Linked DNA regions of Callithrix jacchus. The protein of the gene in region 6 purifies or fractionates together with the protein of the main gene of each other region. This does not show direct contact. Links are inferred from orthologs where the notes say so. Each region holds a gene or a part of one and is shown on either strand. Other genes may lie near its edges. The genes, in order: NOTCH2, MAML1, FBXO42, FHL1, RITA1 and RBPJ.

What was found.
Region 1: the proteins of RBPJ (region 6) and NOTCH2 purify together in Homo sapiens (affinity purification with mass spectrometry; 3 studies listed by BioGRID and IntAct, counting the BioPlex papers as one, with this or other methods). This does not show direct contact. The link is inferred for Callithrix jacchus from reciprocal best matches to the Homo sapiens genes RBPJ and NOTCH2.
Region 2: the proteins of RBPJ (region 6) and MAML1 purify together in Homo sapiens (co-immunoprecipitation; 12 studies listed by BioGRID and IntAct, counting the BioPlex papers as one, with this or other methods). This does not show direct contact. The link is inferred for Callithrix jacchus from reciprocal best matches to the Homo sapiens genes RBPJ and MAML1.
Region 3: the proteins of RBPJ (region 6) and FBXO42 purify together in Homo sapiens (affinity purification with mass spectrometry; 3 studies listed by BioGRID and IntAct, counting the BioPlex papers as one, with this or other methods). This does not show direct contact. The link is inferred for Callithrix jacchus from reciprocal best matches to the Homo sapiens genes RBPJ and FBXO42.
Region 4: the proteins of RBPJ (region 6) and FHL1 purify together in Homo sapiens (affinity purification with western blotting; 4 studies listed by BioGRID and IntAct, with this or other methods). This does not show direct contact. The link is inferred for Callithrix jacchus from reciprocal best matches to the Homo sapiens genes RBPJ and FHL1.
Region 5: the proteins of RBPJ (region 6) and RITA1 purify together in Homo sapiens (affinity purification with mass spectrometry; 4 studies listed by BioGRID and IntAct, with this or other methods). This does not show direct contact. The link is inferred for Callithrix jacchus from reciprocal best matches to the Homo sapiens genes RBPJ and RITA1.

Annotation. Positions count from the first base shown.
Region 1 is NC_133508.1:158,121,494-158,124,993, forward strand, and holds part of NOTCH2 (neurogenic locus notch homolog protein 2), read right to left. Parts: intron 1,631-3,500; coding exon 1,518-1,630; intron 824-1,517; coding exon 318-823; intron 1-317. UniProt on the Homo sapiens protein: Functions as a receptor for membrane-bound ligands Jagged-1 (JAG1), Jagged-2 (JAG2) and Delta-1 (DLL1) to regulate cell-fate determination.
Region 2 is NC_133503.1:71,917,486-71,921,453, forward strand, and holds the start of MAML1 (mastermind-like protein 1), read right to left. Parts: upstream 2,801-3,968; 5' UTR 2,522-2,800; coding exon 2,210-2,521; intron 1-2,209. UniProt on the Homo sapiens protein: Acts as a transcriptional coactivator for NOTCH proteins. Has been shown to amplify NOTCH-induced transcription of HES1. Enhances phosphorylation and proteolytic turnover of the NOTCH intracellular domain in the nucleus through interaction with CDK8.
Region 3 is NC_133508.1:53,659,346-53,663,438, forward strand, and holds the start of FBXO42 (F-box only protein 42), read right to left. Parts: upstream 2,801-4,093; 5' UTR 2,588-2,800; intron 1-2,587. UniProt on the Homo sapiens protein: Substrate-recognition component of some SCF (SKP1-CUL1-F-box protein)-type E3 ubiquitin ligase complex. Specifically recognizes p53/TP53, promoting its ubiquitination and degradation.
Region 4 is NC_133524.1:133,003,894-133,006,051, reverse strand, and holds part of FHL1 (four and a half LIM domains protein 1), read right to left. Parts: intron 1,881-2,158; coding exon 1,711-1,880; intron 1,251-1,710; coding exon 1,064-1,250; intron 451-1,063; coding exon 251-450; intron 1-250.
Region 5 is NC_133510.1:116,159,366-116,163,322, forward strand, and holds the start of RITA1 (RBPJ-interacting and tubulin-associated protein 1), read left to right. Parts: upstream 1-1,157; 5' UTR 1,158-1,436; coding exon 1,437-1,444; intron 1,445-1,607; exon of another isoform or gene 1,608-1,739; intron 1,740-2,385; exon of another isoform or gene 2,386-2,406; coding exon 2,407-2,772; intron 2,773-3,957. Other genes in the region: ATP-dependent RNA helicase DDX54, read right to left, coding at 714-887. UniProt on the Homo sapiens protein: Tubulin-binding protein that acts as a negative regulator of Notch signaling pathway.
Region 6 is NC_133504.1:167,517,436-167,521,598, forward strand, and holds the start of RBPJ (recombining binding protein suppressor of hairless), read right to left. Parts: upstream 2,801-4,163; 5' UTR 2,722-2,800; exon of another isoform or gene 1,922-2,721; 5' UTR 1,865-1,921; coding exon 1,806-1,864; exon of another isoform or gene 1,594-1,805; coding exon of another isoform or gene 1,574-1,593; intron 1,071-1,573; exon of another isoform or gene 754-1,070; intron 1-753. UniProt on the Homo sapiens protein: Transcriptional regulator that plays a central role in Notch signaling, a signaling pathway involved in cell-cell communication that regulates a broad spectrum of cell-fate determinations.

The DNA.
Region 1 (3,500 bases), on a different chromosome or scaffold from region 6:
CCTGCAGGCAGGTTATGTGAGAGGCTGCCTGAAGTGGGAAACACCACTTCCAAAAGTTATATCCCCCAGGAGGTCACGAAGGCAGCAGGTGAGAAGGCAGAGATAGGCAGAGAGAGAGGGTCACTATGCAATGAGCATTCCTGGCCCTCTGTCAGCAAGGGAGAGCACAGGGTAGTGCGCGATGGGACAAGGCTGGCACCATCTGAAAAGCAGAGGCGGCTGAGGCTGAAGCACTGGAGTGGTTAGGAGCAAGAACCGGAAACTCAAGTGTGTTAGTGACAGTCCCCTGCAGCTTCTGGAGAACGTGAAGCTCTTACTTGCATGTCTTGCTGTTCCCCTGGCATTCAAAGTTGTCAAACAGGCACTCGGCCGTGTTGCACAGCTCGTCACACTGGTTGTTGATATAATCCCAGCAGGGAAGCGGGGAGGAGCAGTTGGCCCAGGGGTTCTCCATGGTGAGAGAACAGTCACCCCCATCCCACTGGCAGGCATGGCTGTTGCAGGCCTCATCGCAGACGCCATCCCGAGCTTTGTCAGCACAATACTGGCTCAGACAGGTGGCAGGAGGGGTGCTGGGGGGCACCGTGTAGAGTTCACAGAGGCTGCCCCAGAATGGTGGGGTGCACTGGCAGGAGTAAAAAGGAGGCTGGCGCTGAGGGTGGCAGCTGCCCCCGTGCTGGCAGGGGCTACTGGCACAGCCTGACTCACAGTCCTGGGGGTTGGGGCAGAAGCAGCGGGGTCCAGAGGCGGTGTGCACACACTGCTCCCCTTTCTTACATTTCACTTGTCCACAGCTGCTCTGGCATCTTGCCCCGGAAAATCCCTGTGGAAATCAGTGAGGAAATAAGGATGGCATTGGTAGGGAAACAGTCACATTGGAAGTTTCGGGTTTCTAGAAAACCTCCACATCTCACTCCCTTCTGTACTTCCTGCTCAGCCCAAGCCAAGGTTACTAGACAGGTTTCATTTCAGCACCTCCCCAGGCATAGGGATCTCTTGTTTTGGGGAGGTCTCAGTCTCTGGCAATGATAAAAGGCTGGGTAGAGCAAAGAGCTAAAATTAAGCTTCCCTCTGGTTCAAGAGACAACTTGCTTCCAAATGGTTCCCGCTAAAGAACAGCAGAGCAACGTTTCCACCAACTCCGGCACAAGCGGGGCAGTGAGACTCCCCGCCAGCATGGGGCCGAGAAGTCAAAAACATCAGCCCTATCATCAAGGGGGCATTCCACCACTTTGTGTGGTTTCCCCTTAGTTTTTCTTAAGCCTGACAGTCACGGACTGGGAAGTTCACTGTTTCAGGAAGTGTCTAAACAGTTCTTTTTATTTAATTAGGTTGTTTTTTGTTTTGTTCTGTTGTTTATAAACAGCTTTAAATGGAAAAACCCAAGCATTTTCTTCTGAAAGATCTACAATTGATAAATCTCATTTCAAAGCTTGATAAAACCAGGTTTGATCTCAGTTTTGTCACAGATATTGTATGGAAGAGAGAATGCCCCTTATGAGCAACAGGGCACTTACCGGGGGACAACGGCAAATGAAACCATCAGGCATGTTGCTGGCCACAGCACAAGTCCCTCCATTCAGGCAGGGCATCTGGGGACACACATCGATGAAGGTTTCACAGTGCCGGCCTCAGAAAATAAAAATGGGTTTTAAAAGGCAGAAGTAGTCATTCCAAGTTACTGACCAAACTTTGCTGGGATAGGAAGCACCCATAGGTGGAGCAAGGGTGTGAGTTCAGTCCTACGCCTGTGGCAATCTGAGCAAAGGAAGGAAACACTCGCTGGGTCTCCACATGCCTGGCCCATCACTGGCTCAGGCCAGTTCCTTCCTCTGTCTTGCCTACACAGTAAGCACCAACTCACACAACAGGATGGGTGAGAAAAGTGACTTAAATGCCCTCAAAAAAACAAGAAATTGCACTTCAGCTTTTCGAAGTCACTAGATTTCATACGTTTCAGGAAACAGTTAAAAAACCATTTGCCGCATTTTGTTAATGTCATCTACTTCATAGGAGAGGCTACACCAGGCCAATACCAGGCCCATATATTTAAATGGTGATTTGCAGTACAGAGAACTCTCATCTGCGATATACCTCGTTTCAATCACTTTGTGGCCTTTCTGTAACCTAACTGGTATTCCCTAAAACGCAGCTTAATTTTCCTGAAGTTAACTTCCTCTAGGAATAGTTCTAAAACAGCAGGCCCCTGGGGGCCACTGCTCCAAGATAAAGAATAAGGCAACCGGAACCATGGAGGAGACGAGGGCACCGCACAGCTGGGACTCCTGGCCAACAGCAGAAGGTAGGCCCCATCTGGCCTGCGGTCACTTAGGAAAGAAAAGGTAGCTTTAAAAATGAAGTAAAAATAGTAATGTTTTTGGCCCACCAGATCAAGCAGCCAGAGGTATAGATGTTTGTCTCTTTAAATCGCAGCAGCAGCCGCTAACCAAAAGCAGCCACCACATGGACACAGCTTGGTGGACCACCAGTCTCTCGCTGTTCATCTCTACCACAGCTTCCCACAATAACTGGCTCAATGTGTTCAAGTGATTTCTTTTTCATTCACAAATGTGGAAAATGCACTAGCACGACTTCCTGGCTATGGGATACTAATTCAAAACGGTCTCCATTCCTTCCTTCTCCTGCTTCCCCCTGACTTTGTAAATGTTTGTCAGTGTTCCCAGAGAAAAAAGCCTCAGAGCCAATGAAAGAAAAAGGAGCCAGTTTTGCTTCTTCGGCTTTCCAAGTGCAGTTTGGCCAATACGAGGCTGTGGACAGACTGTTCATACTTATTCTGTCCCATATTGCCTCAATAGTTATGAAGTTCATAATGGATTATTTCTCTTTTGATGTTAGTGTATGTAGGGAACTTCCAGGCTGCAGAATCCCTCTCATTCTTCATAAAATTCCAAGACTGTAAGGCAGCATATCTTTAAAGCTGGAAGGAAAGATGGCTGAAGATGGGCTCAGGATACAGCAGGTTCCGCTTGATGAACTGTTTGTAAACAGACGACTATAGCCTATTTTCTGACTCCCAAGGAACCTGATCACACCCTCCCTAAAAGAAATACAACTACAGACCCCAGGAAATGCATGATAAATTTCAAATCTGAGTATCCTGCCACATCTGGATATAAACAACTATTTTAGTTTCCAAAAGTCTCCATGCTGCCCTCTCCAGAAGTAACTAGTAAGTTCTTGCGATAAGACCTCTATTCTGAGGCAGGGTGAGGTCATCTTCATGTCCTGTTATGAAAGAAAGAAGCTTGAGAACAGAGCAGGAACATGACCAGGGCTTCCCTGGGCAGGGCGTTACTTGTGACCGCTGCAACTTTTCATTTCATAGCTGCATCAACTGATCTTTGGTTAAACACATTTGAATTTGGACCTGCTCCCTTTAAGTATCTAAGCAGGGTCCTAAGCTTCTCTGAGTCTTAGGAGTGGAAAGATCATGGTGTTGGGAACTACCCGGTAATTCAAGCTACTATATGTAATGTCAA
Region 2 (3,968 bases), on a different chromosome or scaffold from region 6:
TGATACTTATCTTCTGTTCCTATGACCCCAATCCAAGGCCAAAGAACTCAGCTAGAAACACTTGGACTCCAAGTGGAAAGCATCCCTCTTCCTAGCAGAGACACAGAACACATCCACCATAGAGTTCAAACTCAAGAAATCCATGGGGTCAAGGTTTAACATGATAAAAAGACATCAACTTAACATGGCACATCTAATTATGTTCTGACACCAAAAGGAATGACTGGTAAGTTAGATTCAAGTTCTAACACACTGAGATTTAATTTCTCTTCAAAGAGCACGCCCAGTTTCCTTCACTGATTCAGGACTAAAAAAATCATATAGGGTCTAAACTCTTGGAATAACTTTAAACAAAAATTGAATCATTACTATATATATATATATATATATATATTTTGGAGACAAGAGTCTCCCTCCCTTGCCTAGGCTGGAGTGCAGTGGTGTGATGTTGGCTCACTGTAACCTTCGTCTCCCAGGTTCAAGGGACTCTCCTGCCTCAGCCTTCCAAGTAGCTGGGACCACAGGCACACACCACATGCCCAGCTAAGTTTTGTATTTTTAGTAGAGACAGGGTTTGACCATGGTGGCCAGGCTGGTCTCCAACTCCTGACCTCAGGTTATCCGCCGGCCTCTACTTCCCAAAGTGCTGGGATTACAGGCGTGAGCCACTGTGCCCAGCCCCCACTAATATACTTTCTAGGGAGTGTTCAAGGCAACTATTTGTGTATAAAACTATGATTTTTATGAGCTTTCATTATTTACTTCATATGTAATGACCACCAACTATTCCCAAGTACTACTTCCAGCTGGGCGCAGAGGGACTTCAGAGACCCCCCATCTTTAACAGAAAAAAAATTTTTTTTTATTTAGCCAGATGTGGTGGTATGCAACTGTGGACCCAGCTACTCAGGAGGCTGAGGCAGGAGAATTGAGGAGTCTAGAGCCCGGGAGGTTGAGCCTGCAGTGAGACATGACAGTGTCTCTGCACTCCAGCCTGGGCAATGAGGGAGCGGGGCGTGGGGGTAGGGGAGAACGCTGGGAGATAGTAAGCTCAACATACCCCTAGTTTGCAAATGAGAAAAGTGAAGATGAGAAGGCTTGACCAGTTGATACAATTAGCAATGAAATCTGAGTGGTTTTTTTTTCTGGCCCAGGAATCCAGGCTAGTGTGGGAGATAATGAGAAAAATAATTCAACCAGAGCAGATGATCTGTGAGGGACATTAAAAGATAGGTTAGGTCAGACTGGTCCCAAGAGCCAAACCAAAGACACTGAATGCATTCCTTCAAGCAACAGAAGGATTTCCAGCATTTCCAGAGGAAGGGAAAAGAAACTAAATGCCTAAAGACTGGTTGGTTAGTTAGGGAGGAGCACTGCAATAGTCCAGGTGAGAGATAATAAAGGTATAAACTTTTAAATACACAGAACAAAGTAGATTTTAACATTTGTTTTAACCTAAAATCCCCAAGAAAACCACTGAAACATTTTGTCTCTCTCTGTTTCAGGGAGAAAAACCTCTAACCAACAAATTTCAGGAAAATTTACTGAGAGCCCAAAGGGCATAATTTACCAACAATCTAACATCATCAGAGATTTTAAACAGGCCTCATAAATTAAAACTAAAATTCAACAATATTGCAGGAATCTCAAGTTCAGAAATTTCAGGCTAAACAAGAAATACTTATTTGCAACTAATAACATTTTACTACGTTTTCCAAAGATTTCTTGATTTTGCAAAGGAGTCTGAGTTGGTCAAATGAAGGCCAACTTACTTCCATATGAAAGCTCTGACCCTGCTTATAGCACAGGATCTAGTGAAGAGCAAGGAGCCAATAAATTGCAGAATAAATGAGGCCAGGCCTACAGTGCAGGAACTCCCTCCATCACAGACAACTCTAATGCTAGTCTATTTCGAATAAAGATCTCAATATCGCGGAATCAAGTCTGGAAGAAAAACCCTCCCGGTAGCCTTCGCCGCCTTCCCAGATCAGGCCTCCTACAAGGCCCTCACGGTGCTGTTTTCCCAAAGTAACGCCACCGTGCCACTTCCCGAAGATGACAACCTCTCAGCTCCCTGCCATGTTACCCTCCCTCCAGTCAGATCCAAGAGATGCGGGGAAGTCTCCCAGGGGCCCGATCCGCGTCAGACGAAGCGTTTTCGGGAGCGGGGACTGCCGCCACGACAAGCGCCTTCCCGCGCCCTACTCACCGCGGCCGGGCGGCCGTGCTCGGGGCCGTCGGCGGCGGGCGCCGGGGCTGGGGCGGCGGGCGGCGGGGCAGGGGCGGCGGGCGGCTGCCGGTGCTTGCCGGCGCGCTTGGCCTTGGCCTGGATGCAGCGCTGGTGCAAGGCGAAGGTGTGCTGGCGCTCCAGCTCCAGGCGCTCGGGAGACACGGCTTCGTATCGGGCCTCGCAGGTGCTGTGGTGGCGCCGGCACAGCTCGATGCGCCGGCGGAGGCGCTCCATGACCGCGCTGTGCCGCGGCAGCGCGAACTCCGCCATGGGGCAGGTGGGCAGCACCATGGGCCGCGGGCTGCACGGGCTGGGCCCGGGGCAGCAGGCTGGCACTGCGGGCTTCGCTCCCCGCGGTTACCCCTGTCCGCCTCACGGCCGCGCCATGACCCCGAGGGCAGTGGAGCTAGCTCGCGCGCGGCGGCGGATTTTCCTCCTGCCCCGCTTGGCCCGACCCCCAGCCGGCGCTTGCTGCCCACTTCAAGCCTCGGCCTGTCCCCACCGCCCCGACCCCATTGTTTTCCGTGCAGCCGCCGCCACCGCCATCTTAAAATTGTTTTCTGGGCTCTCGGAAGAAGGCGGGGCCTCGGTAAGAGACCTTGTGCGTCATGGCTGATGAGCAGGGGCCCCTACCAACCAGAGAAGGAATGAACCGGCCGCCCAAGGGCGTGGGGACGAGCACGCAAGAGGCGCGCTCGGGCGCCAGAGCGGTATTTAAAAGGAACTCTCAAGCGAAGGGCGGAGGGAGTCCTCTGGGCGGGCCTCAGTCCTAGGGACGGAGCTAAACATGACTGACAGGATCCCGTCCAAGAGGCGGCTATTGGTTTCCTGCACTTTGCCGGTTGAAGTTCCCTTCCGGCTCCCCAGAGGAAAGAGGAATCGGGCAGGCGGGTGAGGCGCAGCTGGCCAGTCCCCGTCGCCCGCCTGGCAGTATACAGATCATTAAAAAAAAATTTTTGGCTTTGATAAACTCGAAGTAGCTATTTTAACGTCAGTCGTTTTACTTTGACCTCATTCCTTATAGCCAGCCCCATAATTGGTCAGAATCGTCGAGTGGACTGGTAGTTTCCTCTTGCACCATCCCGAATCACTGGTAGTTTCCACCTATTTATTAAAGCCCGATAAAGTTTGAAAAGTGCAGTATTGGCCGGACGCGGTGGCTCACGCCTATAATCCCAGCACTTTGGAAGGCCGAGGCGGGAGGATCACGAGATCAGGAGTTCGAGACCAGCCTGACCAAAATGGTGAAATCCCGTCTCTACTAAAAATACAAAAAAAAAATTAGCCGGGCGTGGTGGCGTGCGCTTATAATTCCAGCTACTCGGGAGGCTGAGGCAGAAGAATCGCCTGAAAACCCAGGAGGCGGAGGTTGCAGTGAGCCGAGATGGCGCCACTGTAGCCTGGGCGAGAGGGAGACCAACAACAACAAAAAAGGGCAGTATTACTCACTACTTAAAAGTCCAGAAGATGTGAACAAAAGCATTAAAGGGAACTGGAAATGGAAAGGATGATACTTCAGTCAAAACTTTTTTTTTTTTGATACGGAGTGGTGCTGTCACCCAGATCGGAGTGCAATGGCATGATTTCGGTCCACTGCAACCTCCGCCTTCAAGCGATTCTCCTGCTTCAGCCTCCCGAGTAGCTGGGACTACAGGAATTCGCCACCACACCTAGCTAATTTTGTATTTTTAGTAGAGATGAGGTTTCTCTTCTCCATGTTGGTCAGGCTGGTCTCGAA
Region 3 (4,093 bases), on a different chromosome or scaffold from region 6:
CTTTCCTTGTCTACCTCCCAAGCCATACTGTCTGCAACTTCAGACCAAAAGCTGTCTTATCTGTCTTATCTTACAGTTATTAGTACCTACTTCCCAAAACACCTGCCAAACAGAGGGCCTTTATTCGGTAGCTCATAAATAGGAATAATCAATTTTATATTTACCTTTTATTTTACATTTTACAAAGCACTTTCACAAACACTGTCTTTTTTGACCCACATTAACAATCATGGGAAGGGCTTTATTTAATCAAATGGCTTCTGGTTTTATAAACAGTTACTTCGATGACTAAAACAATCCTGAAATCACAAAGATAATTACATGTTTGTTCATCTTTGAGATAGCTTCTCCTTGGGATCTCAGTGTTCTCATAAAATTCATGTTTTGCTAGCATTTTCTTTGCTTGCTCTCGATAATAGGTAGGACTCATCCAGTTCTGAATCTGAAGGGTTTAAACTTAATAAAGCAATTATTAAAGACCCTTCTAGAAACCAGACAAGAACAAGCATCCTAAGCTACCTTTTTCTGATCCTGTTCTTTTTGTAACTGAGTAAGGTAAGGAATTGCAAAAGTCAAAATCTGGAGAGCAAATGATGTCATGGATGTCACGCAGTTGCATCAATAAGTGATGATGATTTAGCATAACAGTGCAACATATTATGCCAAGAAGCATAATGATGAGCCACCAGGATGTTTTACTGCATTAATTTCATGACTCTTTATTAGTGAATTGATATGCAAAGTAGCTCTCCAATTTTCTACCACAGAGAAGCTGACAGTTCAGATTTACATCTTTAGCAAAGACACTAAGAAAATCGACAAATTTCTACGGAAAAGTCTGATTTAAAAATAGAAAAGGAGGCTGGGCACGGTGGCTCAAGCCTGGCAAAGGTGGGGTATTGCTTGAGACCAGGAGTTTGAGATCAGCCTGGGCAACATGGTAAAACCCCGTCTCTGCTAAAATTACAAAAACTAATTAACTGGGCGTGGTGGTGCACGCCTGTAATCCCAGCTACTCAAGAGGCTGAGGCACGAGAATCGCTTAAACCCAAGGGATGGACGTTGCAGTGAGCCGAAATCATGCCACTGCACTCCAGTCTGGGTGACAGAGTGAGAGACTGCCTCAAAAAAAAAAAAAAAGGAGAAAGAGAGAGAAATGGTCAAATAATAACCGAAACAGTTGTCATTTCACCAAGGAAAATCTTTTTAAGATATACAGCATGCCCATGGATCAATGTGGATTGAATAATGCATTTATATTGGCATGTCAAAAGCAAATAGTTAAAATAACATACAATAGAAAAGACACCCAATCAGATTACACACATGAATACACTCAAAGTTAGCAATTAAACACAGCAACACCAATGTTCATAAGAGCTATAGACTTATTTCTAAATGTTCAATTGTAAATGATGGTACTTTCCAAATTTTCCTTCTCTTTAAATCCATGACGTCACCATTCTTAAGCACAAGTAAAGCCAATGTGTTACAAAAGGTATTTTGGTGTGTCCAAGCAAAAGCAATTGCCTCAACAATTCCCCACAGCACAGTCCAATGAAGCCATCATTCCTCAAGGAAGAGGCCACAAGGCTTCAAAACCGACTTCCCTACATGAGAAACACAAAGTCTCCCAATTAGCATTTAAACAACAACAAAAGTTGTTCTCCAAAAGGAACAAGCATAGTTACAATGTTGCTGCCGGCAAGTGAGAACTGGTAAAGCGTCAGATCTTCATCTAGATCCATCAGAATCCCACCACAGAAAAATCCAAAGACTCTGGCAATTAAGAAATGAAGCCTTTATTTTCCTAATAAAAGTCGGGAGATTTAACAGACAAAGCAATTGGCTATTCTGAATCTTAACAATCCGAAGGTTTCAAACGAATTCAACTGGCGCTGAGGTTACCCTGCAGAGACCATCAAGATCTCACAATTGCTTTCTCTTCGCTTACAAATTCGTTCCCACCCTCCACCGTTCCCTTACCACACACAATTCTCGCCAAGAGAAGTCTTCCACAGTCACAGCATGGATTGCTGTCTCAAGCAAGGAGATCCGCAGTTTCCATTTCTCTAGGGGAACACTCAACAAGCTAGGGGCTAGGAAAGGCCGCTTATTTTATTTCACGAAAACCAATTTCCAAATTATCCCTCTGCAACTGCAGCTTCAGTGATGCTGGCCCCCAGCCGCAGCCCCAATTTTGATGGGCACCCGACTCCCGGCTCCTCTCTCGCAAAGAAGTAAAAGGTTCGGAGGCCCGATGAAAGATTATCTGACACCCTAAAGCCATCCTTGCTCGGGCCACACATCCCTTCACTGCCCGGGTGAGGGGACGAGAATCACCCTGCTGGGGAGAGAGGGTGGGTTCGCTCCCAACCCAAGGGCTGGCTGGAAAGGAACTCTCCTCCTCTCCTCCTCACTCAAGGACGGCGATAGCAAGGCGCCCTGCCCAACCAAGACCGACCCCTGCGCGGGATGCGGGACCTGCGCCAGACCAGGGGCGCCCGCTGCCCCTTGCCAGCCCCGGGCATAAAGGGCAGGAGGCGCCAGCTCCCCATCGCGGCCCCGGGAGGAGGAGAGGCCTCACCTGGCCCAGCCCGCTCCAAGCTCTCGGGTTCGCTCCGGTGGCGACGGTAATGAGGGAGCCAGGGACAGGGCCAGAGCAGAGGCGCTGTGCCTAAGGCCGCGATAGCCGTGCTCCGGGCTCTTCACAGCTGGCGGGACCCCAAGCCACCCAGAGCCGCCATCTTCCTCCACTCAAACCCCGCCGCCGCAGCTGCTGCTCTAGCCGAGAGAAGACAGAGCAGAGCGCGCATGCGCAGGGGCGGGCACGAAGGACACACGCGCGCGCACTCACGTCAACGCGGCGGGCCGGCGCGGGGCGGCTAGGGGGCGGCGCCATATTGAGAAGGGCTGTGGCTACAGACCAAGATTCTGTGGAGGATGGAATCTTCCGGGGGTGCGAAGCTTCCGCACCCGTCTTCGCCGCGTCTCCAGCGTCGACCTCATAGCCGCACCCACCCTCCGCTGCAAATGTCTGGAGCACCTGGGTGGTTTTCCCTGTGATTTGAGACCAACCTTTAGCCAGGAATTAACTAAGTTCTACCCCGAGGGCCCGATGAGCACAGAGGTGGCGGATGTAAGTGCCCCTGGACATCCCCACGGGGAGGGAAACTCCGCCTGAGGTGTGCAAGAGAAGCCTCCCTTAATCGTAGTAGCCTTGTAGCAACCACTGTGTGAGGTGTTTTACTAGCTCCACTTTTCAGATGAGGAAACTGAGGCACGGAAAACGATCAGTTATTTGTCCAGAGCCACACACCTAGCAGTGGAGGTGGGGCGGCGCGGGAAACATAGGATTTAAACTCGGGCATGTAGGATTCCCAAGTTCCTTTACATCCTACTGGCTATCACCAAGGGATAGATTCCAGCAAAGCCCCCTCCCAAGGGAGCAACCTGGTGTGTAGGTGAGAACGAACCTTCACGAGCTTAGCCCTACATACAGCATGTGGTCTAAGGAAATGCCAGATGGAGTCAAGGGCTTCAGTCTAAACTCCGTAAGCAAAAAAAAAAAAAAAAAAAAAAAAACTAAGCCCCTCCCCACCACCACTACCACCACACCAAGCATTCTGAATGGACTTTCTCCTAGGCCAGGCCAGAGAGGTAAATTGACCAGGGCAGTCTAAATTTAACATGGTTCAGGCCATGACAGGAAGTGGGGGTCAGACATGCCTCATTATACCCTCCAGCACTAACATCAACACAACAGACCTTAAGACTGATTAACAATTGCAGGCCGGTTGCGAGGTGGCTGACACCTGTAATCACAGCACTTTGGGAGGCCAAGGCTAGCAGATCACGAGGTCAAGAGATCAAGACCATCCTGGTCAAAAAAAAAAGGTGAAACCCCATCTCTACTAAAAATACAAAAATTAGCTGGGCATGGTGGTACGCGCCTGTAGTCCCAGCTACTCGGGAGGCTGAGGCAGGTGAATCGCTTGAACCCAGGAGGCGGAGGTTGCAGTGAGCAAGAATGTGCCTCTCTACTTCAGCCTAGGCGACAGAGCAAGACTGTCTCAGAAAAACAAACAAGAGG
Region 4 (2,158 bases), on a different chromosome or scaffold from region 6:
TCCCCCACGCCGCCATTGTCCCCCATGCCGCCGCAACCCTGCTATGGCTCTCCAGGACCTGAGAAGAAGCCGGAGCCCCGCCAAGGGCTTCCCTGATGTAAAGACCCCACGTTCCCATGCCACCGCGCTATTGCCCTGTGACTCGCACCGACCTCCCAGCATAACCAGTTTCTTTGATTTAGGTCAGGGCCATGGCATCAAAGTGGCCACCAGGAGGCAAACTTGGGCTGTTCGTGGGGTGTGCACTTACCGGGCCTCGAGGAGCTGCTAAGCTTCGATTTTTTCTATAAAGAACCACCACCCACGAGGGACAAGTCCTCTCTCCACCCGGATGCCTGCCCCGGAGGTTGGCGCTGGGAAACAGGGTGAGAGGCAAGCGTTTCCCGTGGCACACTGGGGGCTTCCTAGCTTTAGAGACTGGGTGGCTCACTCTTGACACAGTCCTTTTCCCTGAGGATGGCAAAAGTCTTCTCAAATGTACATTTCAAGGCTCCCCGGGGAGATGGGAAAATTGGAGGCAAGGGAAAGGGCCCAGGGCACGTGGATCGCGGCCGCGAGATGAGGAATGAAGTGATTAGCTTTGCTGATCGCAAAAACAAATGAACAGAAAACCAAAAAAAAAAACCCTGCCAACAGTCACCTCTGAACTAGCCTTCAGTTATGGGTTGTTACAATCCCAAGTTATCACTCTTCGGCCTCCCCTCCCACTTCCCCTACCCTTCTCCACCCTACCCCACCCCCCTTCTTTCTACCCTCCTCCCGCCCCTCCCCCCAGAATCCCCCTGCAACGTAGCATTGCCTGCCGGTGATGGCCGGCAGGTCTCAGGCTTGTGAACGCTTGGCATTGTTAGTCAACAGTAGTCAGGAAGTGTTCTGTATTGCAAAGCCTAACCTGGCCTGGGGACGAATCCAAACTCTTGGGGGACCTTTGGGATGACAATAGCAGGGGGAGAAGGGCATTCTCTGGGGGCCTTTGTGGATGAAACCGACGACAGGAAAATGAGAGATGGTTACCATGCGCAAAACCTAGCCTGGCAGACTTAGCAAGGACTCTTTAGCCTACCAGTGATGGGGTTCTTGCATCCAGCACACTTCTTGGCCACAAAGTTCTTGTAGCAATCCACGCAGTAATACTGGTCCTCCACAGCGGTGAAACGCTGCCCAGCCAGCTTCTTAGAGCAGGTAACACACACAAAGCAATCGGCATGCCAGGGCTGATCCTGGTAAGTGATTCCTCCAGATGTGATGGCCTAGACCAGGGAGTGTAGCACCGGATTCAGATTCAACAACCATTTTGTTGAATGCCTACTGTGTGCCAGGCACCGTGCTGGGCGCTTTGGTATACAATATCTCATTTAATCTCCACAGCAGCCATGGGAGGCAGGGGCCATTATTATCCCCAGTTCACAGATGAAGACACCAAGGCTCGGAGAAGGCGAGCCCCTATGCGAGGTTGCACAGCCCCTAAGTGGTAGAGGCAGGCCGTATGGGCCACCCGCACCACGGAGCTGAGCATGCGTACCGACAGCCGACTTGGCTGTGGCACTGCTTTCTAATCCATGGTCTCCTCATCTGTAAAATGGGAATAATAATTCCTACGTCACAGGACTGTCGTGAGGATGGAATGGGATAGTGTGTGTGGAAGTGCTCTGCAAACCATCAAACACTTCTGGAAACAGCGGTCAATGCCGAACTCCCTTGAAAGCATACCTTGTTGCACTTCACGCAATGCTTGGCAAACTTGGTCTCATGGCAAGTCACGCAGTAGAAGTCCTCCCCTTTAGGGAAGAAGCTTCCAGTCCCGATGACTTGCTTGCAGTTACTGCAGGTGAAGCAGTCTTTGTGCCAGACGGTCCCCTTGTACTCCACGTTTTGATCTCCTGCAGGAGGAAGCAATTGGATGGCCCCACTGACAGGCTCTGCAGGGTGCTGCATCCACTCAGCCCTCCTCCCCAGACCCCTAGAGGTGAGGGGATGCAGGCCCTGCAGTTACTGGCCTCACACTTCCAACTAACCTACCTGTGTTCTAATTGTGCTTGTGCCAACCCGGGATTTCTGTCATGGGCGGGGACCCCAGAATTATTATTTTAGGATCCGATGCCTGAATCCCCCATGCCCCCACCTCTATACCCTGCGTGCACTTAGACATTAAATCAGG
Region 5 (3,957 bases), on a different chromosome or scaffold from region 6:
TGCCGGGCGCGGTGGCTCACGCCTATAATCCCAGCACACTGGGAGGCCGAGGCGGGTGGATCACGAGGTCAAGAGATCAAGACCATCCTGGTCAACATGGTGAAACCCCGTCTCTACTAAAAATACAAAAATTAGCTAGGCATGGTGGCGTGCGCCTGTAGTCCCAGCTAGTCGGGAGGCTGAGGCAGGAGAATTGCTTGAACCCAGGAGGCGGAGGTTGCGGTGAGCCGAGATCGGGCCATTGCACTCCAGCCTGGGTGACGAGCGAAACTCCGACTCCAAAAAAAAAAAAAATTTTTTTTTAATTAGTTTCCCAGAGGTTTGGGGGGGTCACTGTCGCAAGCCACGCAGTCCGGCATCCCCTTAATTCAACCTCCCAAGAAAGCTCCAAACTCTCAAAGTCAGATCTTTTGCGCCCGCACTTTTCATTGGGCGAAAGGAAACCAGGATCCGCCCCTGAGCAGGAGACAGCCAATGAGGGACGCGCGACCGAAAGCCCGCAGGAAGGCCCGCAGGCTCCTGCAACGGGACCCCTAGCCTAACAAGCCCCGAGGCACGTCTTCAGGCCGGCGGTCCCAAGACCGGTCCTCGGACCGGCAGCCTCCCTCCCCACCCTCTGCGGAGCCCACTCCCCAGCTGGGGAAACAGGCTTCGGGGCGCTTCCCGGAGCCGGTTCTTGGGCCCCAACGTGCGTCCCAGCCCCATGTGTCTACCTTCCGGGCCCCGGTGTCATCTTCCGCCTGAATCTCAAATTTGCCGTCCTGCGAGTCGCTGCCGCGGGCCTTGGAGGCCGCGCCTCGGCGCTTCCGGAGCCCTTTCTTCTTCCTCCACTGGGCCATAGCAGACGGCGACCGAAGTCCGGCCGCGGGGCGCTTGCCCTCCGCCATTCGGGCCGCGCGCTGGGAACGCGGAAGGGGCGGGGCCTGCGGCGCGTACTAATTGCGAAGGTAGGGAAGGAGCGGTGGTCACGTCACCCCGGCTGCACTTTCGGTAGTGCCTGCGGCCCTGGGCAGCCTAGTACACACGCCCCTGAGTGAATGGCACCAGAGGCCCCTCTCCGTGTTTAGGAACTTCCTGGGCGTCAAGAACGTGACGCCCGTCCCTGGGCTGACTCCCCCCCCCCATCTCCGGGCGCGAATGGTCCGAGCCGCGCCCGCAGTGCTGCTGCCTGCTCCCTAGTTGCTGGGTTCTGGGTTTCTGGATGCGCGCGTCGCTCACACGTCGCCTGGGCCGGCTCCCTGGGTGAGTCGGTCTGCGCGCGGTACACCGGTACGGCCTGGGCTGCCGGGGGTCCGGGGCCCCGGGCATTCCTGGCCGAAGATTCACAGGGATTCCGGATGCACCCAACGCCTCTGTGCCCTCGTTGACTAGTCCAGACCTGGTGGGAAGAAGGCGCGGGGAGAGGTACCTGAGGACCCCAATGCCTATGAGCCAAGATGCTCAGGTAGGAGAACAGCTCAAAAATGCAGGGACCTCGGGCATTTTTTAACCGGTTCGTTGATTTGGGAGTCGCAGAATATGGGGAGGTGGGGGCGGCGGTGATCTCCCAATAGCAGTGTAGTGAAGTACACAATCTCTGGACTCAGATTTCACTTCCACCGTTTTAGCTTTATAGGTGTGACCTACCCATGTGACTTCACCTCAGTTTTGTGATCCGTAAAATGGACAAAATCGAAGCTACTTCACAGTGCTGTTGAAAGGATTAAATGAAACAATGCTTGTAAAGCTCTTTGCAGGAGGTAGGCATGGGATCCACGCTGGCTGTTATTGCCCCCATCCCCATAATACACACAGGATATAGGAAAGTGCCTGTCTCCCCTACCACCATAGTGTGTTTTCTGGTTGGTGCCTAAATGGGCACAGGTGTCACCTCTCCTTCACCCTGAGTCAGTCTATAAATAATTGCCAATAGCACCCCTTTCTCCATCATTATGACGACTTAAAAAAAAAAAAAAGTCAAAGGGCCAGGTGCGGTGGCTCACGCCTTGGGAAGCCAAGGTGGGTGAATCACGAGGTCTGGAGTTCAAGACCAGCCTGGCCAAGATGGTGAAACCCCATCTCTATTAAAAATAAAAATAAAAATTAACAGGACATGGTGGCGGGTGCCTGTAATCCCAGCTACTCAAGAGGCTGAGGCAGAGAATTGTTTGAACCAGGTGGTGGAGGTTGCAGTTGCAGTGAGCCGAGATTGCACCATTGCACTCCAGCCTGGGTCTGGGGTGACAGAGTGAGACTCCATCTCAAAAAAAGTAAAAAAAAAATAAAAAGCCAAAGAAATTCCTGACATACCCCCTGAAGTTGACAACTCCCCTTTGAGAGACTGGCTGAGAGGGAACTAAGCCCTTGGGATGAGAACTTCAGAGACTACCAATCTTCCTCCATTAGCACTCCGATCTCCTCTCACAGGGAGCCTCAGAAGCAGGACCTGCCCGGCAGATTACACCCGCTGTCACCAGGGACCACAGGCAGCATGAAGACCCCCATGGAGCTGGCCATCAGTGGGATGCAGACCCTCCACCTTCAGCACCACCGCCGGGCTGGCTACCGGGTCAAGGTCAGGCCGTCATATGTGGATGAGAGTCTGTTTGGCAGCCCAGCAGGCACCCGGTCCGCCCCACAAGACTTTGACCCTCCCTGGGTGGAGAAGGCTAACAGAACCAGAGGCGTGGGCAAGGAGACATCGAAGGTCTTGGGGGCAAAGGGGAGCTGTGAGACCACCCCCTCAAGGGACAGCACCCCGACCCCCACACCAAGGAAGAAGAACAGATACAGGTAATGGGGTGGGGAGATGCAAATCCTATACTCAGTGTAGCCACCTGGGTTCCAGTTATAGCCCTGGTGCTCTGTGATCTTGGGCAAGCATCTTTACCTCTCTGAGCCACAGTTTACTCATGTGGAAAATAGGACCAGTGATTCCTAATGGGGGATTGTTGATGGATTAAATGAGAGAGGGGTCTGCAGTGCTTTGCATAGTAACCTAACAGTTAGAAAGCTGTTAATAAATGGCAGTGTTGATGGTTGTGATGGTGGACTCCCTAACCCCAAGTGTCACAACTGGACATCTGAGGCCCAGAGGAGTCAGCTGATGCGTAAGATCACACAGAAATTTGCATAAGGTTATTAATATTAATGTGATTGATCCTTGAAATGGCATAGATGTGGTGTTTCTGAAGTCATTTTGAAAATGGGTCTTGCCAGGTGGGGTAGTTCATGCTGTAATCCCAGAACTTTTGGAGGTTAAGGTGGGATCACTTGAGCTCAGGAGTTCGAGACCAGCCTGGGCAACGTGGTAAAACCACGTCTCTATTAAAAAATACAAAAATTAGCCGAGCGTGGTGGTGTGCACCTGTATTTGCAGCTGCCAGGGAGGCTGAGGTGGATCACTTGAGCCCAGTAGGCGGAGGTTGCAGTGAGCCAAGATCACGCCACTGCACTCCAGCCAGAATGACAGCGAGACCCTGCCTCCAAAACAAAAATAAAAAATTAAAAATGGGTCTTGCTGCATTTTCTTGAACAAGTTAGAAAAATAGTAACTAATGCAAATTGTTATTGTTAATTAATTAGATTAGAATTAGATTATTTGGACTGTTTCAGATTAATATCAGCCTGAGGGAGGTATCTAGTGGTGAGCTACAGGGCTCTGTCCTGTTTATTGTTACCAGTGGTTTAGACAAAGATGATTAGCACGGTAGTTGGCTAGGGCTGCCGTGACAGTACCACAGACTGGGTGGCTTAAACAACACAGATTTGTTTTGTGACAGACTGGAGGCTGGAAGCCCAAATCAAGGTGTTGGCAGGTTTGGTTTTTCCTGAGGCCTCTCTCCTTGGCTTGCAGTTGCCCACGTTCTCACTGGCATCATAGGGCTTTCTCTCATTTTTTAATCCTTCAAGTACATGCAAGGGCCTTTTCTGTATGCACACACGTAGCCCTGGTGTCTCTTCCTCTCATAAGCACAC
Region 6 (4,163 bases):
CTAGAAGCAGTATTCATCAACCAGAAATTGCACTCTTCGGTGCAGTCCTTATTTCAACCCCAATGGTGGGTCAGAAGGGTTGTCACGAATCTACAAAGCAAATAGCACATTAACTGTAAACTATCTAATGATTAAGAAAAAGTAAAATATTTACATAAAATTCCCAAGCAGGATGCCTCTCCGTTCCTTATGAGGCAGGAGTCACTGATAAACTCTAAATCTAGATTCTAGAAAATGCTGAAATTCTCCGCCCCAACACTCACAAGTTTTAAACATGGAAATTCACTCAACTCCTACTCACACGTCAAACGAATACCCATTGTGGATATCTGAAACTATTCTCAAATACTAACAGAAATACATACATACATATATATATACACACATACATACATACATCTTGAGCCTCCTTCTAACCGTCCTACAATACCCTCCAATCATCCTCAGGTAACCTAGATGCAAAACTCCGACAGACAGCTGCCCTTGGCCTAGGCCGTCAGGAACCAGGAGGGGGCGGGGGCCGGGGGGCGCAAGAACCACCAAGAGACCAGATCTTTTTGCAGAGCTACTGTTTCCAAGCAAAACAACCCACGGCACTAAAGAGAAGGCGATGAAAATCGGAGACGCTTTAATCCCAAGAGAAAGGGGTGGGGGGGAGGTATCGGGGGGGCACAAGAAATCCCGAGAGAAAGAGGTACGAGGAGGAAACTAAGTATCCCATGCATCTTTCAGACCCACAAAACAACAACAAACCGTTGAGGCTGTGTGCACTTAGCAGCAGCAGATGGAGTCCCCGGGGCTGAGACAGTTCAGCAGACGTACGTACACCGTAGGTAGTGGATAAATCAACCGATGACGGAAGGGGAAGGGGATGCGGAGAGAATAAGCCCGTGCGTGGGGGAGACAAAGCCCCGGGGGGTGATCCAGAACCAGAGAGAAAGGTGAGAGGGGACCCACAGTAGAAAGACAATGGAAGAACCATTAAGGCAGGAATCTGGTGCCCGGGCTGTGGTAGGTCACTGGGCTACCGAAAAGAGTGGAACACAACAAAGGGGCATGGGAGGAAGGACAGCGGAGGGAAGGAGACGGAGATGGGATGCCGGGCGCCACGGGTCGGACAAAGCGCCCAAGGCGGCGAAACAAAGGGCCGGGGGTAGAGAGTCGCGGGGGGCAGCGGGGAAAGACAAAGCGCCCGAGGCCGGGGGCACCAGCGGGGCGAGGCGGCGACGACTGCCGCGAGGAACAAAGCTGCACGGGGCCCCCAGGCAGGGCCCGTGGGAGGCGTGGAGCAGGCACAGCGCCCGCGGGCCCCGCGCGCCGGGCCGCACTCACGCCCGCACCCGCCGGCCTCGCCGCCACCGCCCGCCCTCACGCGCCGGAGCCCGAGCCACAGCAGCGCAGAGCGGCAGCGCACGACCACACGCCGCCGCCGCAGCGCTCGGCGCATGCGACGCCGCCCCCGCGGGCCCCTGGACGCCAAGCGCGCCCCGGCCCCCGAACCTGCCGCCCGCCGCGGGCTGCCAGACGCCCGCAACTTTCCCGGTTCCCAGCGCTCCGATTCCCTCAGACTTACCCTGTCACAACAGGCGCCATCTTCCACAAACTCTCGCCAAAACTCCAACCCTCGCGAGATTCGCCCCGACGCCTTCCCTGGTCCCTCTCCCCCGCCCCTTCCCTTTTTCCTCACTCCTCGATCCACCCAGCCCCCGCGCTCCCTTTCCCCTCGCAGCCGCCGCGAAGAGCCAGATGCCTCGCGCCGCCCGCGGAGTAGGGGATCCTGCTCGCTGTCTTCCCTGGAAACCTACCCAAGCGATAGAGCATGCGCAGGCGGCTCCTCCGCGGGCGAGCCCTCCGTTTGGTCCATGCGGAGCGCTCCGGTTATCCGGGTTTTGGGACGCGCCTTAAGGGACGTACGTGGAGACTGAGGAAAACCGGAGGGGATTACTACGGGGACAGGGAATGGAGGGGTCAGGAGGCGGGGCCGAGGGGAAAGGAGGAGGGGTCCTGGGAAAATCGGCCGCGTTTCACAGGCCTAGATGAAACACCTCCTCAAATGGGTGTTTTCCAGGCGGCTTCCCGCTCACTCTGGGTTCCCAGCTCTTTTCATTCATTCAAAAGTTCCCTGGGCGCCTCCTTTATGCTAATCTCGGCGTTAGATGCCGGAGCGTCAGAAGTGCCTGGGGTTCGGGCAAGTGACACGTCGGGAACTGTCTTCTTTCATTACACCCACATGCTAATGAGGAGGCCCTTCCAGAGCTCCGCAAACGGAAAACTTATGCAGTTGAGCTCTCTCGCCTTCGCGTTCTCCTTGGGTGTGAAATGAGGTCAGGCAAAGGCTTCTGGCAAAGACACGCCTAATAGCCACCTCGTAGACACACACCAGACCGCGGAATAGTTCTTTCCAGATGGGAAAACTGCCTTAGAATTGAGAGCCACATTCTCCCACCTCCGAGTAGGGTCAGAGGCCCCGATCAAAGCTCCCGCCGCTCGCGTGCTGCGTGGCCTCCCTAGGACCCCAACGCAACCGCCACGGTGTGTGAGCCCATGTGTGTGGGGGGCCACTACTGCACAGGGAGCCGGGCCTCCCGAGGGGCTGGCACAGCGGACCGGCTGCTCGAATCGCGCTTCTGGCTGCCTGATCCCGGAAGCCGCCGGGCGAACCGGGCCCGGCCGGGCACTGAACAGCAAGATGCAGGGCCGGACCCCGCCCCCTCCTCCTACCTGCAGCCCCCCATCTTTCCCCTTTCCTTTCCTAGAGATTCCCAGATCCAGCACTGTCTCCCGCAGGGAGCCCCAAAACCCGGAGAACTGGAATTCGCCTCCCAAAACCTGCTGAAGGCGCTGCAGGATTGGCGCGGCCGCGCGAGCGGTATTGCGCGTGCGCCAATGCAGGCAGTCCAGTCTCACGCTACACCTTCCCACCGCCTTCCACTACTCGGTTCAGACACAACACGGCCGTGGGAAATTTCCTAAACCTCGCGAGAACGCGCCCACTGTTGCCTAGGCTTTCGCCCCAAATCTCGCGGAGCCCAAGCAGGACAGGTGTTTGTCTAGAGCTCCAGGCGCCGTTCGTGCCGCGCGTGCCCGGGAGGCGGGAGGCTGGCGGCGGGCGGCGGGCGGCGGGCGCGGGCGGGGTGGGAAGGGAGCGGCTCGCCGCGGAGGCGGGGCGGGAGGGCGCGTGGCTGGGAGCACGGGGCGGAGGGCAGCGGAGGAGGAGATCGGACGTCTCGCACACACACGCACACGCCCTGTGACGCTGGGTGGAAGACGAGGGGTGGGGAGCTTCGAAGGGGAAGCTAGGAGGTTGGAAGTCGCTAGGTCAGGGTCTAGGGCTGGAGGAGCCCCAGGCCAATCTCACGGGGAGGTTTCCTGTCGCCCTCCACAAGCCTGGTACTTTCCTAAAACGTGCTAGACGCCGGGCCCCCAGCCTCCGGGAGCGACAGACAGCCCCCAGAGTCGGGTTTGAGTCATGCCTTGAGTCACCTAGTCTGGCCACCACTTCGCTTACTTGTTTAAGTTCTGATTCCTTTAGCTACTCTCCTTTAGCAATTGGTTGTTTTCTTTCTAATCTACCCGCTGGCCCTGTGAGCTGGGTAGACCAAAAAACAAAACAAAAAAAATAGCTGCGTGGGTGCTCACATTGCTGCCCTGTATAGATTCTTGCTCCTGTTTAAGGACACGACTTCTAAAATTTCTTCTCAGTCTCTTCTTAGCCTTTTGAAGTAATCCCACAAATCAGTTTCTGGTCTCTTTTTTCCTCTCACTAATATGGCTTTTTTTGCTTTCCTTCACCTTTCCATATTTTTGTTAAAATATCCCATTTTACAAATTACTGCGGCAGGTGCTGTAGTGACTACTGTTTTAAATGCATCCCTTCCTTTTGGATCATTCATCCAATGAGTTCCTGATTACATTCTTCAACCAAACACGTTTCAGATTGGCCCTGATGTGGTTTCTTTACCAGCCTTAGCCTGGCAATATCTAGAAACTGGTGTCTTCCTGCTGACATCACAGCCCCGAAAATGTAGAGTTGAATTGAACTTTGATATTTGGAGGACAGTGAGTTCTCAAATAGGAGGAAATTCAAGTTTTTAAGTTGTTTTCAAGGTTTTAGGGATGTGTGTATGTGTTTGCCATTCTTTTGATTATATATTCACAGAGGG